Linked DNA regions of Schizosaccharomyces pombe. The protein of the gene in region 2 purifies or fractionates together with the protein of the main gene of each other region. This does not show direct contact. Each region holds a gene or a part of one and is shown on either strand. Other genes may lie near its edges.

The links. The genes of interacting proteins can lie anywhere in the genome.
Region 1: the proteins of ubp12 (region 2) and cul3 purify together in Schizosaccharomyces pombe (affinity purification with western blotting, with the first as the bait; one study listed by BioGRID). This does not show direct contact.

Annotation. Positions count from the first base shown.
Region 1 is NC_003424.3:484,710-490,579, forward strand, and holds cul3 (cullin 3), read right to left. Parts: upstream 4,006-5,870; 5' UTR 3,907-4,005; coding exon 3,865-3,906; intron 3,809-3,864; coding exon 2,424-3,808; intron 2,385-2,423; coding exon 2,275-2,384; exon of another isoform or gene 2,223-2,274; coding exon 2,158-2,222; exon of another isoform or gene 2,114-2,157; coding exon 1,940-2,113; exon of another isoform or gene 1,889-1,939; coding exon 1,479-1,888; exon of another isoform or gene 1,423-1,478; coding exon 1,251-1,422; 3' UTR 1,014-1,250; downstream 1-1,013. Other genes in the region: hxk1 (hexokinase 1), read right to left, coding at 1-192; TIM23 translocase complex subunit Tim15, read left to right, coding at 4,070-4,320, 4,365-4,641; gup1 (MBOAT family O-acyltransferase), read left to right, coding at 5,307-5,553, 5,629-5,870. UniProt on the Schizosaccharomyces pombe protein: Probable core component of multiple cullin-RING-based BC3B (BTB-CUL3-BTB) E3 ubiquitin-protein ligase complexes which mediate the ubiquitination and subsequent proteasomal degradation of target proteins.
Region 2 is NC_003421.2:2,328,060-2,334,788, reverse strand, and holds ubp12 (CSN-associated deubiquitinating enzyme Ubp12), read left to right. Parts: upstream 1-2,317; 5' UTR 2,318-2,381; coding exon 2,382-5,321; 3' UTR 5,322-5,920; downstream 5,921-6,729. Other genes in the region: ATP-dependent RNA helicase Dbp9, read left to right, coding at 73-1,860; NADP-dependent prephenate dehydrogenase Tyr1, read left to right, coding at 6,241-6,326, 6,426-6,729.

The sequences.
Region 1 (5,870 bases), on a different chromosome or scaffold from region 2:
CGGGTTCGTGGTTAAGCCCTTGTAAAGCTCAGAAACAAAGCGATCGGTAACGCGATGTAAAAGTTCAGTGGGAATGGTGAATTGTTCTTCCAGTTCATCCAAATGATCTTGTAAAGTTTTGTTCAATTTGATATTTGAACCCTTACGACTAGGTGTACGAGAAGGCCAATGGTAAGCGTCGTGCAAGGACATTTTGATAACTTCAGTAGTGATACACAAAAGAAAGGAAGAAGTGAAAAGATGGCAATTCCTTGACACTTGGAGTTACGTAGGAAAAGAAAAAGATCTTTAAAATTTCAAAAGCAAAGGCCACTTATTTTAAAGAGTTCAAGACACGTTTAGTCACAAAAAGAGAATATGTAGGTTCTCTGCAAGACGAGTAGGATATCAAAAAGAGCTTTGTATCTTAGCTTAAAGTAAGAGATTGTAATCAACCTTTGGCAACCTTGCGGATACTTAAAAGTGTTTGGTGGTTAAAAGGAAGTGTGGTACGCGGAACCAATTAAATGAAATTGGCGAACAAGTGGGGTTCGTTAAGATATTTGAGGTTATTTATACAATTTCCTAAACAAATAGAATTAAGCGGAGAATATACAGAATAGCATTGAACGGTAGATATTTTTAGGGGTTCTTCCGAGATTGCTAAAGAGGATAGCGTAGTCCGTTAGGAAAGAAGAATATTCTTAATGTAAACAACCAGGTGTTTCAATACTAAATCAAATACATAGCTTTATTATTTGATTAACACCTTAAAGATTATAAGGAGCTTTACTTGCTCTGGTATTTTCGATGTTATTAGTAGAGTCATCATCAAAAGCATACTGTGTAGGATAGTGTATTTACGGCGAATTCGCTTCCTCCCATAATAATTTTTTAGGTTAACACTTCCCATCTATCGTTGATCAAATACCTTAATCTATTTTAAACTGAGGGTTTTTCTGTTTTGGTCTTTTTGTACAATGTATATGGAACAATGTAATTTAAACTCATTACTCTACTATCTGCTCGCAGAATTAATGTATCAAATTTTGATTGATTTGGAATATAATCTACCTGTTTTCAAACCTTCTTATAGCATTACTTAAAATTTTCTTTTTTTCAAAAATAAAAAGGAAGTTGGTGTAAAATTCATGAGTGTCATTATAATCACAAAGCTTTTGCTAGATATCATCTTGAACAAATTGGTATCTTTCCATTTAAACATGATTTCTCGTATACGAATATTGCATTTCGTGTAACAGTTAAGGCTGCTATGCTAAATATTCATAAATGCGACCATTATCGGCTTGTCTTTGTAGGTACTCCCGCTCTATTAAAGCTTCAATTCGTCGCTTAATCATCATCGGACTAGGGTGGAAACGAGGGTTTAACTGTCTTGTAACCTCTGCCATCAGCTGATTGTGTTCGCACACTTTGCGATCCCTTAATTTACTGTTAGTAAAAATGTTTGAAAAAAAAAAAAAAGGAAAAAGACATACTTCATCACTCTAACAATACAGGCATCTGCTTGATGCTTCCTTGACTCGTCTACCTTCTCTAATGTACGTTTTCTCTCACTATCATCCTCAACACGAGTCTGAGCAACTGTCGATATTTTAATCCGGGCGAGATTTGAAACAAAGTTCTCATTGAAATAAAACTTGTCACCTGCATTCACCTCCCTTCCTTTTGGATCCTTTAGCAAAATCTTGTATTTTGCACAAGCAAGGGACTGAAGATTGCGCTTCAAATCCCCAACTTCTATATTGGTTTTTTCCAAAATCTCCTCAAAAATTAAACACTGATTTTCTTTTAGGTCTTGGAAAAGCAATAGAATAACAGATGCAATAGTCGATACATTCAAGTCATATTTTCTGTCTTTGAAATTAACACGGACATCAGCACTTCCCTAAATAGGATTGTTAGTGTGACGCAACAAGCAAATAAAAGTTTACTATACCATAGAAGGATACCACAATAATTTTCTCCCCGTATGTTTCGATAAATAAAAATCCGTAAATTGATCTATCTGAGCCAGGAGAACTTTCGGAAAGTTACATTTAATTTTGTGAGGCGATAAATCGATGGGCCAAAATGTAGAAGCCAAAATTGAAACGTTTAAGTCCAAAGCAGGCTAACTGTTAGTATAAAGGATTATCAATAAAAATTTCCACTAACCTTGGCCGACTGTAACGCAGAATTATGTTTGTACTCCTGTAACAATTCTTGTGAAAGATTCATATCTAAGCATTAATAAGGGAACGCAAAAAAACTTGCTAAAGTCTGAATACTTACCATTAAACATTCCTTCGAGCTTTTGAGTAAAAACATTACCAGCTTCTTGTTTCAGCCTACTGATCATTCCGAGCTCTGCATCGGAAGATATTGATCGATTATTCAACAACCTAAAAGTGTTAAAGACAGTAAAAACAATTAAAGCATACCTTTTTGCAAGGTGTGTTTTGTAATATTTTTCAAAAACATCTTTTTCTGAAATAAACCGAAATAACGTAACAGAATTTTGAAGTGTTGCTTCAATAGAGCCTTCTATTGCTTTTCTAGCATCTTTTTTCAGATTGTCATCAATGAATAGTGAAATGTACTCGGGGGCTCGGGTATATCCGTCTACGAACGTAACAAAAGCATCTGATAAAGAGTTCAAGATAGACCGATCAGCATCCATAGTAGTACTTATAATTGTATTTAGTCTATCCCATAAGGCCAAAACTTTTTGAACCCATAATGTTGCCATTGTAGCATTAGATGATAGACGACCAACAGCCATCTTTCCTTCAAGCGCTTGGCTAGTAGTTTCATTGATTAATTTTCCATGATGCGCTACATATTTCGCCAAGTATTTTTTTAAAGACTTCACGCCAAGTTCCACTCTAGAAAAGCTTTCGTAAACCAATTGAAGACCCTCGAAGTTTGAAGAGTCGATCATCGAGAAAAAGCCAGTTGATTGATTTTCAAGCAAATCGTCCAAATGTTTACTCAAAAGCTCATCTTCAACAACGGATAGAAGGGGGCTAGCTATTTTTGTGAACAGGTAATTCTTGGACCTCTCCTTTTCTTCCTCAAATCTTTTCTCTGCTTTTTTCAGATACTCCACAACTCCAAATACGCCGATGACTGTTGATGATTCTATTTCATAGAAATTTCTTGTGTAAGATAAAAACTTTGGAGCAAATAAAACATCATAAAGAGTTTCCTTTTTGTTTTCTGAAGGCAAAGAGTTTAGCATATCTAAGCAGTCATTTATTAAGGGTCGATTTATTGTATTCCCTTTACGTTCAAGATAAACCAGAATTAGAATAGTTTCGACACATTTCTCTCCAATTTCAAAACTATTTAACAAAACAACTTCACGAAAGATATATATTCCGTTTTCATTAACAGGAACTTTGTCTGCAGATTTTGAATAAACCTTGTCCAAATATTTTAATACACTAGATATCATTTGCATTGAAACAATGTGATCCTTCCAGGAATTAACTAAAGACGATAAAAATCTATGAGCCGCTTCCAATGATCTCGACCATGAAGTAGAATAGGAATCATTTTTTCTAATATCCAATAGAGCATTCCCTAATAAGGAAGCGTCATAGTTTTTGTAAATAGCTGGAACAGTTTCTTCTTTAAGCCTCGATCTAATAACATCCTGTACATGATTATAAAGCTTTTCTCCATACTTATGTAGAACAAGTATATATGCATTTCTATACAACTCTTCAAACGATAATTGAGATGTGCTTTTCTGAAATATATCCCCAATAGCTCGCTGCAAGACTTCCCAATGTGTAGCAAAGTCTACTTGGTTAGCAGAAAACTAAATGTCAGTATGTGAGGAAAATAATAAGGACAGCATGCATCAGGTACACTTACTTTTCGTGGCGCTCGAATTTTTAACTTCGCTGACCGCTGCATTAATAATGGAATTTAAAGTTAAGTTTCAACAAAAAAGCTAAATATATGGGCATATGAGTTTGCATAAAGAAACGCCAGCACAGACGGAAGTAATGGTACAAAAGGTGGTAGAAGGTACTAACTACGAACAACATTCTCCGAACACAAAAATTTTTCAAACATAATGTGGAGCTTTGCACGGTATACTCAAAAATTCTGTTTACGAAATTTGCAGTTAAAAAATTTTTCAAACAAGGTAAAGGTTTCAAGTTTACTTTTCTGTTCCCCGAATGTGAGAAACATTTCTAATTGGCAATGCAAACGCTTCACTCAAAGCGATGCTAAAGATCTTGCAAGTGGTGTTCCCTCTGTAAAATCAGATGCTGATCAATTACAACCTAAACCGACTTATAATGTTTCTTTTACTTGTACCGTGTAAGTATTTATAATTTCATTGAAGGATACTAACCAAATGAAAGATGTAACACTAGGTCAAATCACAATTTCTCCAAGCAGGCCTACCATAATGGGACCGTTTTAGTTCAATGTCCTAAGTGCAAAAATCGGCACTTGATGGCTGATCATTTAAAAATATTCTCTGAAGAACGGGTGACGATTGAAGACATTTTAGCTAAGAAAGGGGAAACTTTTAAAAAAGGCTATGGTCAAGTAATCAATGGCAATGTTGTAGAATTTAAGCCCCCTCAATTTAAAATTCGACCAGCAAAATCATCTTCTTCCAATTCTTCCAAATGAACTAGGAGAGCGATCAAATTGGGTTTAGGAGCATATAAATTGCAAGATATAGTCATTGTTTATTTTAATTTCTATAGTATATATTATTTTTATTTATTTTTGTAATACTTTGGTCAATATATACGACGTTCTAATAGAACATTTAATTATTATATGAGCTTGTTAACTTGAAATTATCTTTTGAATTTTTAGACTAGATGTGATAATTTAGCAATCATTGAGCAAATCATATCCAAAAAAAAATAAATTAATTAATTAATTATAAAAATTAACGATTTTAGAGATCTAAATGGGCTATACAGAATTATTGCAAACGAATGTAAAACATTTTTCAATATATAAGTTGCTAATTTACCAAAATCAAAATTTAGTCTTTAAAGATGCTTAATTAATATTTCTATTTTAATAGCGCGTTTTGTATAGTGCTGACTATTTTATTCATTCCAATAAACAATACAAACTGAATTTATTATTTTTAAAAATATAATTGATTTCATCATACTCTCTCTACCTTACTCTTAAAATTATTTACGGACTATGAAGCTGACACAAAGTGTAAATTACGCAGTGTCTTGCATTTTGCTAGTGAACACCACTAGGTTTGTTTACTCTATGATATTTTGAGAACCGACCATCTTCTTTGCTGTTGGTAGGAGACTTCTAGGATGTTACGTTTATTTCGATTTGATGTTCTTGAGACTTCGACCAAAGATACTGAAAGACCCAATTCTAAAAGTTCACGGTTAAGTTCGACTTCTGGTTCAAGTCATCCATCTTCATCTTCACGTTTGACCGTTCGAAGCGCAGTTCCGGAAAAGAGCGCTTTTGGTTCCATAGAATTTATTTTTTACTTTTCTGTCATTCTATCGATTCTAACAATTGCTTGTTTTAAAATTCATTATGTTAGTTCTCGTAAGTGTCAAAAGCTTTAATCAGCCTTTTCTATTTATCAATTTGAAATAAAGTAAGCAACTAACTAGGCGTCAGCAAAACATCCCAATTACAAAAACATTGAAAAATATTTAAAGCCTGGGTGGTTGTTTGGACAAAAAGTCGATTCCGCTGATTTTCAGTATTCCGCGTTTCGTGAAAATATGCCAATCTTACTACTTGTAATTATTGTCTATAATTTTCTCTGGAGACTCGTTAAGCTTGTCTTCACAAAAAATACTAATGATGAACTCGCTATAAAAAACAACTATCGACTTTGCTTCTCCCTGCTGTTTGCA
Region 2 (6,729 bases):
TGTGTTTTATTTCTGTCTTTGATTAGCGCAATCACACAAAAATATTTAATTTAATCATTTGAAGCTGATAATATGGAAAAATCTGGTGGAATACGTGAAGAGAGTTCTGAAAAAACTTTTTCGGACTTTAATTTAGATCCTAGATTGCAAAGAGCCATTCATAAATGTGAATTTGAAAAACCTACTTCAGTCCAAAGCGAAACAATCCCTTTAGCATTAGAAGGAAAAGACTTGGTAGCTCAAGCAAGAACTGGTTCTGGTAAGACGGCTGCTTATTTGATTCCCATTTTGGAATTACTGTTGAAGCAAAAACAAATCGATGAAAATCAACGTGGAATTTTTGCTTTGCTTTTAGTTCCTACAAGAGAATTGGCTCAACAAGTATACAATGTATTGGAAAAACTTACTGCTTTTTGCAGCAAGCATATTAGATTTATCAATGTTGCGACGAATAGCTCTGATACCGTACAACGTCCTCTTCTTCTCGATCTTCCTGATATTGTAATTGCAACACCTAGTCGTTGTGTTGTTCATGTCGCATCTGGTGTACTTCCATTGGATAAGTTAAAATTCCTTGTAATCGATGAAGCCGATTTAATGCTCTCTTTTGGATATAACGAAGACATGAAAACCCTTAGTAGGTCCCTTCCCCGTGGTACTCAATCCTTCTTAATGTCTGCCACACTTTCCAAGAACATTGCATCCTTACAAAAGTTAGTTTGTCGGAATCCGTTTATCTTAGCAGTAAAGGATAAAGAAGCAAGTGGAAAGTTAACTCAGTACGTTGTTAAATGCTCTGAGCAAGACAAGTTTTTGCTAGCGTACATCCTTCTCAAACTCAGATTAATTAAAGGAAAAATCTTGATTTTTGTGAACGAAATAAACCGATGCTACCGACTAAAACTTTTTTTGGAGCAGTTTGGTCTGAAGAGCTTAGTGCTCAACTCTGAGCTTCCTGTAAACTCCCGTTTACACATCTTAGAACAATATAATAAAGGCTTGTATCAAATCATTATTGCTACTGATGAAAGTGGAATGATGGGTGAAATAGAAGAATTGGAAAATAATGTTGATTTTGTCGAAGAAGAAGTAATTTCTACTGATCAGCCAACTTTAGATAAAATGAAGGATCAGGAGAATGCAGATGTCAATGATGAATCCATTTTAGCTGCTGCAAAGGACAAATCCAAGAAAAAGAAAAGAGTTAAACAAGATAAGGAGTATGGTGTTGCTCGTGGTCTTGATTTTGAAAATGTGGCTTGTGTTCTAAATTTTGATATGCCTAGTAACACAAAATCTTATATCCATCGAATCGGCAGAACAGCAAGAGCTGGAAAACCTGGAACCGCTATGTCTTTTGTAGTGCCCAAATCAGAGGTTGGCAAACATAAGCCTACGAGTCTGGAATCCTGTAAAAAAGATGAGTCCGTTTTACGTCGCTTAGAAAAAAAGCAAATTAGCCTACAACCTTACTCATTTGATAAGAATCAAATTGATGCTTTCCGCTATCGTATGGAAGATGCTCTTCGTGCTGTTACTACCGTTGCTGTTTCAGCCGCAAGAGCTGCTGAATTGAAACAGGAATTACTTATTTCAGAGAAGTTGAAATCTTACTTTGCTGAAAATCCAGATGAGTTACTATCATTAACTCACGATACTGTTTCCAGTGTTCGCCTTGGTCACACCCAGAGACATCTCCGTCATGTTCCTGAATATTTATTACCAAAAGGAATGCAAGCCGTTAACAAGGACATTGGCTTTGTACCATTTAAAAAGAACAATAGGCGAAAGGTATTTAAATCTAGAAAGAATCCTAAGCATCGGCACGACCCTTTACGCTCTATGAAGCGTAAATCTTAAAGTTTTTACGGTAAGATGTGGTTATCAAATGATTATGAAATGTGCATTCTGTTCTTTCTTTTGGGAAATTATAATAAAATATTGGTCTGTTAAATTTTTAGTTTAGGAATTATGGGTTATACAATTAAAGGGTTTATAAAATTGCGGTGTTTAAGTGGTAGAGCTTCAATAAAATTTCTCACTGTTTCACCTTTCTGTAATTTTACCGACTGAACCTGCTTTTGAATTGACTTAACTTGCAAGAATAATCAAAATTAGTAAGTTCTGTTTAATATTAATTTTTCCTGCCTAGATTTTGTAGAGTTTATAGTATTCGTATGTACGTTCTCATTAGGCTTATTTTTAAATAAATATTTGTTAATGTATAAGAAATTTACAATTTTTTTTCATATTCTGTCAATACTTGAGATAACAGAATTAATTTACCGTTTTTAAAAATTCTCTTATCCTCCCATTTGAACAACGCAATTTTCCATATTGAGCTGGACTTGTTGACATCGACAAAAGAGACTTCATTTTATATGGATTCTCTGTCGGAAAGTTCTACTTCTTCATATCACGGAAAAAGACCGCGGTCCTTGAGCGAGGAATCGCAAAGCTCTTCCAACATGGATGATATTTCACAAAAATCAATATCTTTGGGTGATGCTTCAGAAATATCAAAGAACCTTCCTTCTATTGCAGAACAAAAGCAGTTAATAGGCGAGTTGGTAAACAATCAACCCGAACTTGAGTTGGGACAGGTTGACAATTACATTCTTTCGTATAGTTGGTATGAACGACTCTGCTCGTATTTGGCAGAGGATGGTCCCTTTCCTGGACCGGTAGATCAAGAAGATATTGCTGATTTAGAAACTGGAACGTTGAAGCCGGATTTGCAAGAAGAGATTGATTTTACCATCATTTCTCGAGATGTATGGGATTTATTGGTTCGCTGGTATGGACTAAAAGGACCCGAATTTCCAAGGGAAACTGTAAACCTGGGCTCAGAGTCGCATCCTCATTTGGTAGTTGAAGTTTACCCACCAATCTTTTCATTAACACTGTTGAGCACCAATGCTGTGGACGCGAATGAGTCTCATAAGCCTAAAAAAATATCTCTTTCCTCAAAAAGTACTTTAGAGGATCTATTGGAAGGGGTTAAATATACCCTTTCTCTCCCCAGTGATCAGTTTAGGTTATGGAGAGTTGACACGGATCAGCCTTTGCATAGAACTATCGATCCCTCATCTTTTATAAAAATCAATTCGAAAGAAATTATCGATTTTTTAGAAAAATCCAAGACTTTGGTAGAACTGGGAATGGACAGTAGCTGTTCATTAGTGGCTGAATGCATGATAAATGAAACATGGCCAGTAGACCGTGCGCTTCGCCTACAATTCTTAATTCAGCAGAGAAATAATCAATCATCTAATGAAGAACAAAAACAAGAAAAAAGGGTTCCAGGAACCTGTGGTCTTAGCAACCTTGGAAATACTTGTTATATGAATTCCGCACTCCAATGTTTAACCCACACTCGTGAACTGCGTGACTTTTTTACATCAGATGAGTGGAAAAATCAAGTAAATGAGTCAAATCCCCTTGGTATGGGTGGCCAAGTTGCCAGTATATTTGCATCTCTTATAAAATCTTTATATTCTCCAGAACATTCCTCTTTCGCTCCAAGGCAATTTAAAGCAACTATTGGTAAATTCAATCATTCTTTTTTGGGATATGGCCAACAGGATTCTCAAGAGTTTTTAGCTTTTCTTCTAGATGGACTACATGAAGATTTGAACAGAATCTATCAAAAGCCGTATACCTCTAAACCCGACTTGTATGAAGTGGACGAAGAGAAAATAAAAAATACTGCTGAGGAGTGCTGGAGATTACATAAACTAAGGAATGACTCTCTTATTGTAGATTTATTTCAAGGCATGTATCGTAGTACCCTTGTGTGCCCTGTTTGTAACACCGTCTCGATTACCTTTGATCCTTTCATGGATCTTACCCTTCCATTACCTGTCAAGCAAGTATGGTCGCATACTGTTACCTTTATTCCAGCTGATACAAATCTTACTCCATTAGCTATTGAGGTAGTACTCGAGAGTAAGGCGGCGACGATTGAAGACCTTGTCAAATATGTCGCAGAAAAATCTGGATGTAGCGATTACAGGAAAATATTGGTTACTGAAACTTATAAGGGAAGGTTCTATAGGTTCCTTACACAACTTTCCAAATCTTTGTTAATGGAGATTTCTGAGGAAGATGAAATTTATCTTTATGAGTTAGAGAGACCGTACGAAGATGGATCTGATGACATTTTGGTTCCTGTCTATCATATATCTGATGATTCTACAAATTCGGCAAACTCCTATATGAGTTCACGCGATTTTGGTCACCCATTTGTCCTGCAATTGTCAGACAATGAAGTTACTGATGCTTCCTTTATAAGTGAAAAGCTCAAACTTAAATATCAGCAATTTACAACTTTAAAAAACTTAAAAAATATTGACTCGTTGGAGTCTTTGGAACTTGGCCACGAAGATGAACAAGTGCAAAAAGGTCCGTTGGATGTTGATATGGATCATAGTCAGACACCATTGTTTGAAATGAGAGTTTTCCATGATCGGTTTGAAAAAATCCCTACCGGTTGGAACATGAGTGTTTCTAACTTGCCTTTGTTAACCGAACGGGATAAAAAGGATTTAGAATCGACGGTCGATCCTTTAGATGCTCATTCAATTGAGGAAGAAGATGACAGTGAGTTCAAAGACGTTGCACCCGGTTCATATCCTGAGCCTTCGAAGAGTAACGAAAACACCAAGTTGACCGCAAAGGAAAATGATCGTTTGCTTATTCAGGGTGACTTGCTGGTGTGTGAGTGGCCTGAAAAATCCTATCAATTTGTATTTAGTGTGGCACCTTCTTCTCCTCAAATGGGACGTTCATTGTGGCTAGAATCAAAAACAATATTGTCGGACAAAAAGGATGATTCTGAAGATTCTCGTACCATTACTTTGAATGATTGTTTAGATGAGTTCGAAAAAACGGAGCAACTGGGTGAAGAAGATCCTTGGTACTGTCCTACATGCAAAGAATTTCGACAGGCTAGTAAACAAATGGAAATTTGGAGATGCCCCGAAATTTTGATTTTCCATTTGAAGAGATTTAGCAGTGAAAGAAGGTTTAGGGATAAAATTGACGACTTAGTTGAATTCCCTATTGACAATTTAGATATGTCTATGCGGACGGGTAGCTATAAATTGTCCGAAAAAGAAAATCCTAAATTAATTTATGAGCTTTATGCTGTCGATAATCACTATGGCGGTCTTGGAGGCGGTCATTACACAGCATTTGCTAAAAATCCCGACAATGGACAATTTTATTGTTTTGATGATTCACGGGTCACTCCTGTATGTCCTGAAGAAACTGTCACCTCAGCTGCATATCTGTTGTTTTATCGCCGAAAAACAAGCTAAAATGAAATTTTCAATACTAGTACTTACTGCATCAATCTTTGATATGCTAATTAAAAAACGGTTCTTGTCAATGTGACTAAAAACTTGCAGTTTGTGGTTAGGCACAATTTATTGTCGTTTATCTAAATAAAAATTCCATTATGTTCTAATACCTTTGAGCCGAACTTATTACTTATTTTACGCTAAGGATTTTTTGTATCATTAAGTAGACAACAGTTCCTTTATAATTCGACAAAGTATCGGTATTACATTTCTCTCAGCTACTAAAAAGAATTTTTGTGCTGACAATTGTTTCAAACTACTTAAAGCATTTTTTAAAGCGCCTGCGTGTTGGAGATTATTTAAGATCTATGTTTTAATGAGGATTAGTCTTCGATTTTTTTGTTCAAAAATTCAGCTATTTTTGGTCTTTAATAAGTGCTTTAGATTTCAAATTACTTTTATTGGAGTATTTCAGTTTACTCTTGGGAAACCAGTTTGTTTGTATTTGCCTGCTTTGAAATTTCACTCTCTTAGCTAATAGATTTTTTGATCAAATGCTTTAGATTGAATGTTAATTAACGAAGTAAAATTTAGAAAAATGAGCTCAGATTATGCAGATTCCACAATTAGCTGCTCATATATATTAATTCGAGTACAATCAATACTTTATTCAAATGCTATCAAGAAGTATGAAGTTATAAGTAGAATATCAAAAAATAACCAAAAATTGTATTTAGATAGTTTTCCACTTGTGTATCAATCAGTATCATAACGATTCTGCTTATTCACATTACCCTTAGTTACCACCATCCTTTGATATATAAGCAAAAGTCACTATATGTTAGTTAAAAAAGTTTCTCTATTTTTACTAAAGTTAAAATAATATTTATTTGAAAATCCAAAGAAATTATACAGAATGGGATTCGATTTTGGGAAAATGAAAGAGACTTTTCAGGTCGGCATCATAGGATTTGGCGATATGGGTCGCTTGTATGCAGAGTACATCAGTAAGGCAGGATGGAGGTAAGTAAATAATTTTTGTTCTACAATCTACAATTAGCTCTCCTTTTCAAAGTGCCTTTAGGGACTTTTTCTATTAGCACCTTCTAACATCATAAATAGAGTAAATGTTTGTGATCGACCGGAAAATTACGAATCAATACAAGCGACTTATGGAAATGGGGGATATACCGTTTTAAAGGATGGATTTCAAGTTTCACGAACGAGTGACTACATTCTGTACAGTGTTGAAGCTGAACATATTGATAAAGTTGTTGCTCTATATGGGCCTGCAACTAAAGTTGGAGCGATTGTCGGAGGTCAAACATCATGTAAGGCTCCAGAGATGAATGCATTTGAAAAATACTTGCCTGAGGATGTGGACATCATATCTTGTCATTCCATGCATGGTCCTAAAGTGAACCCT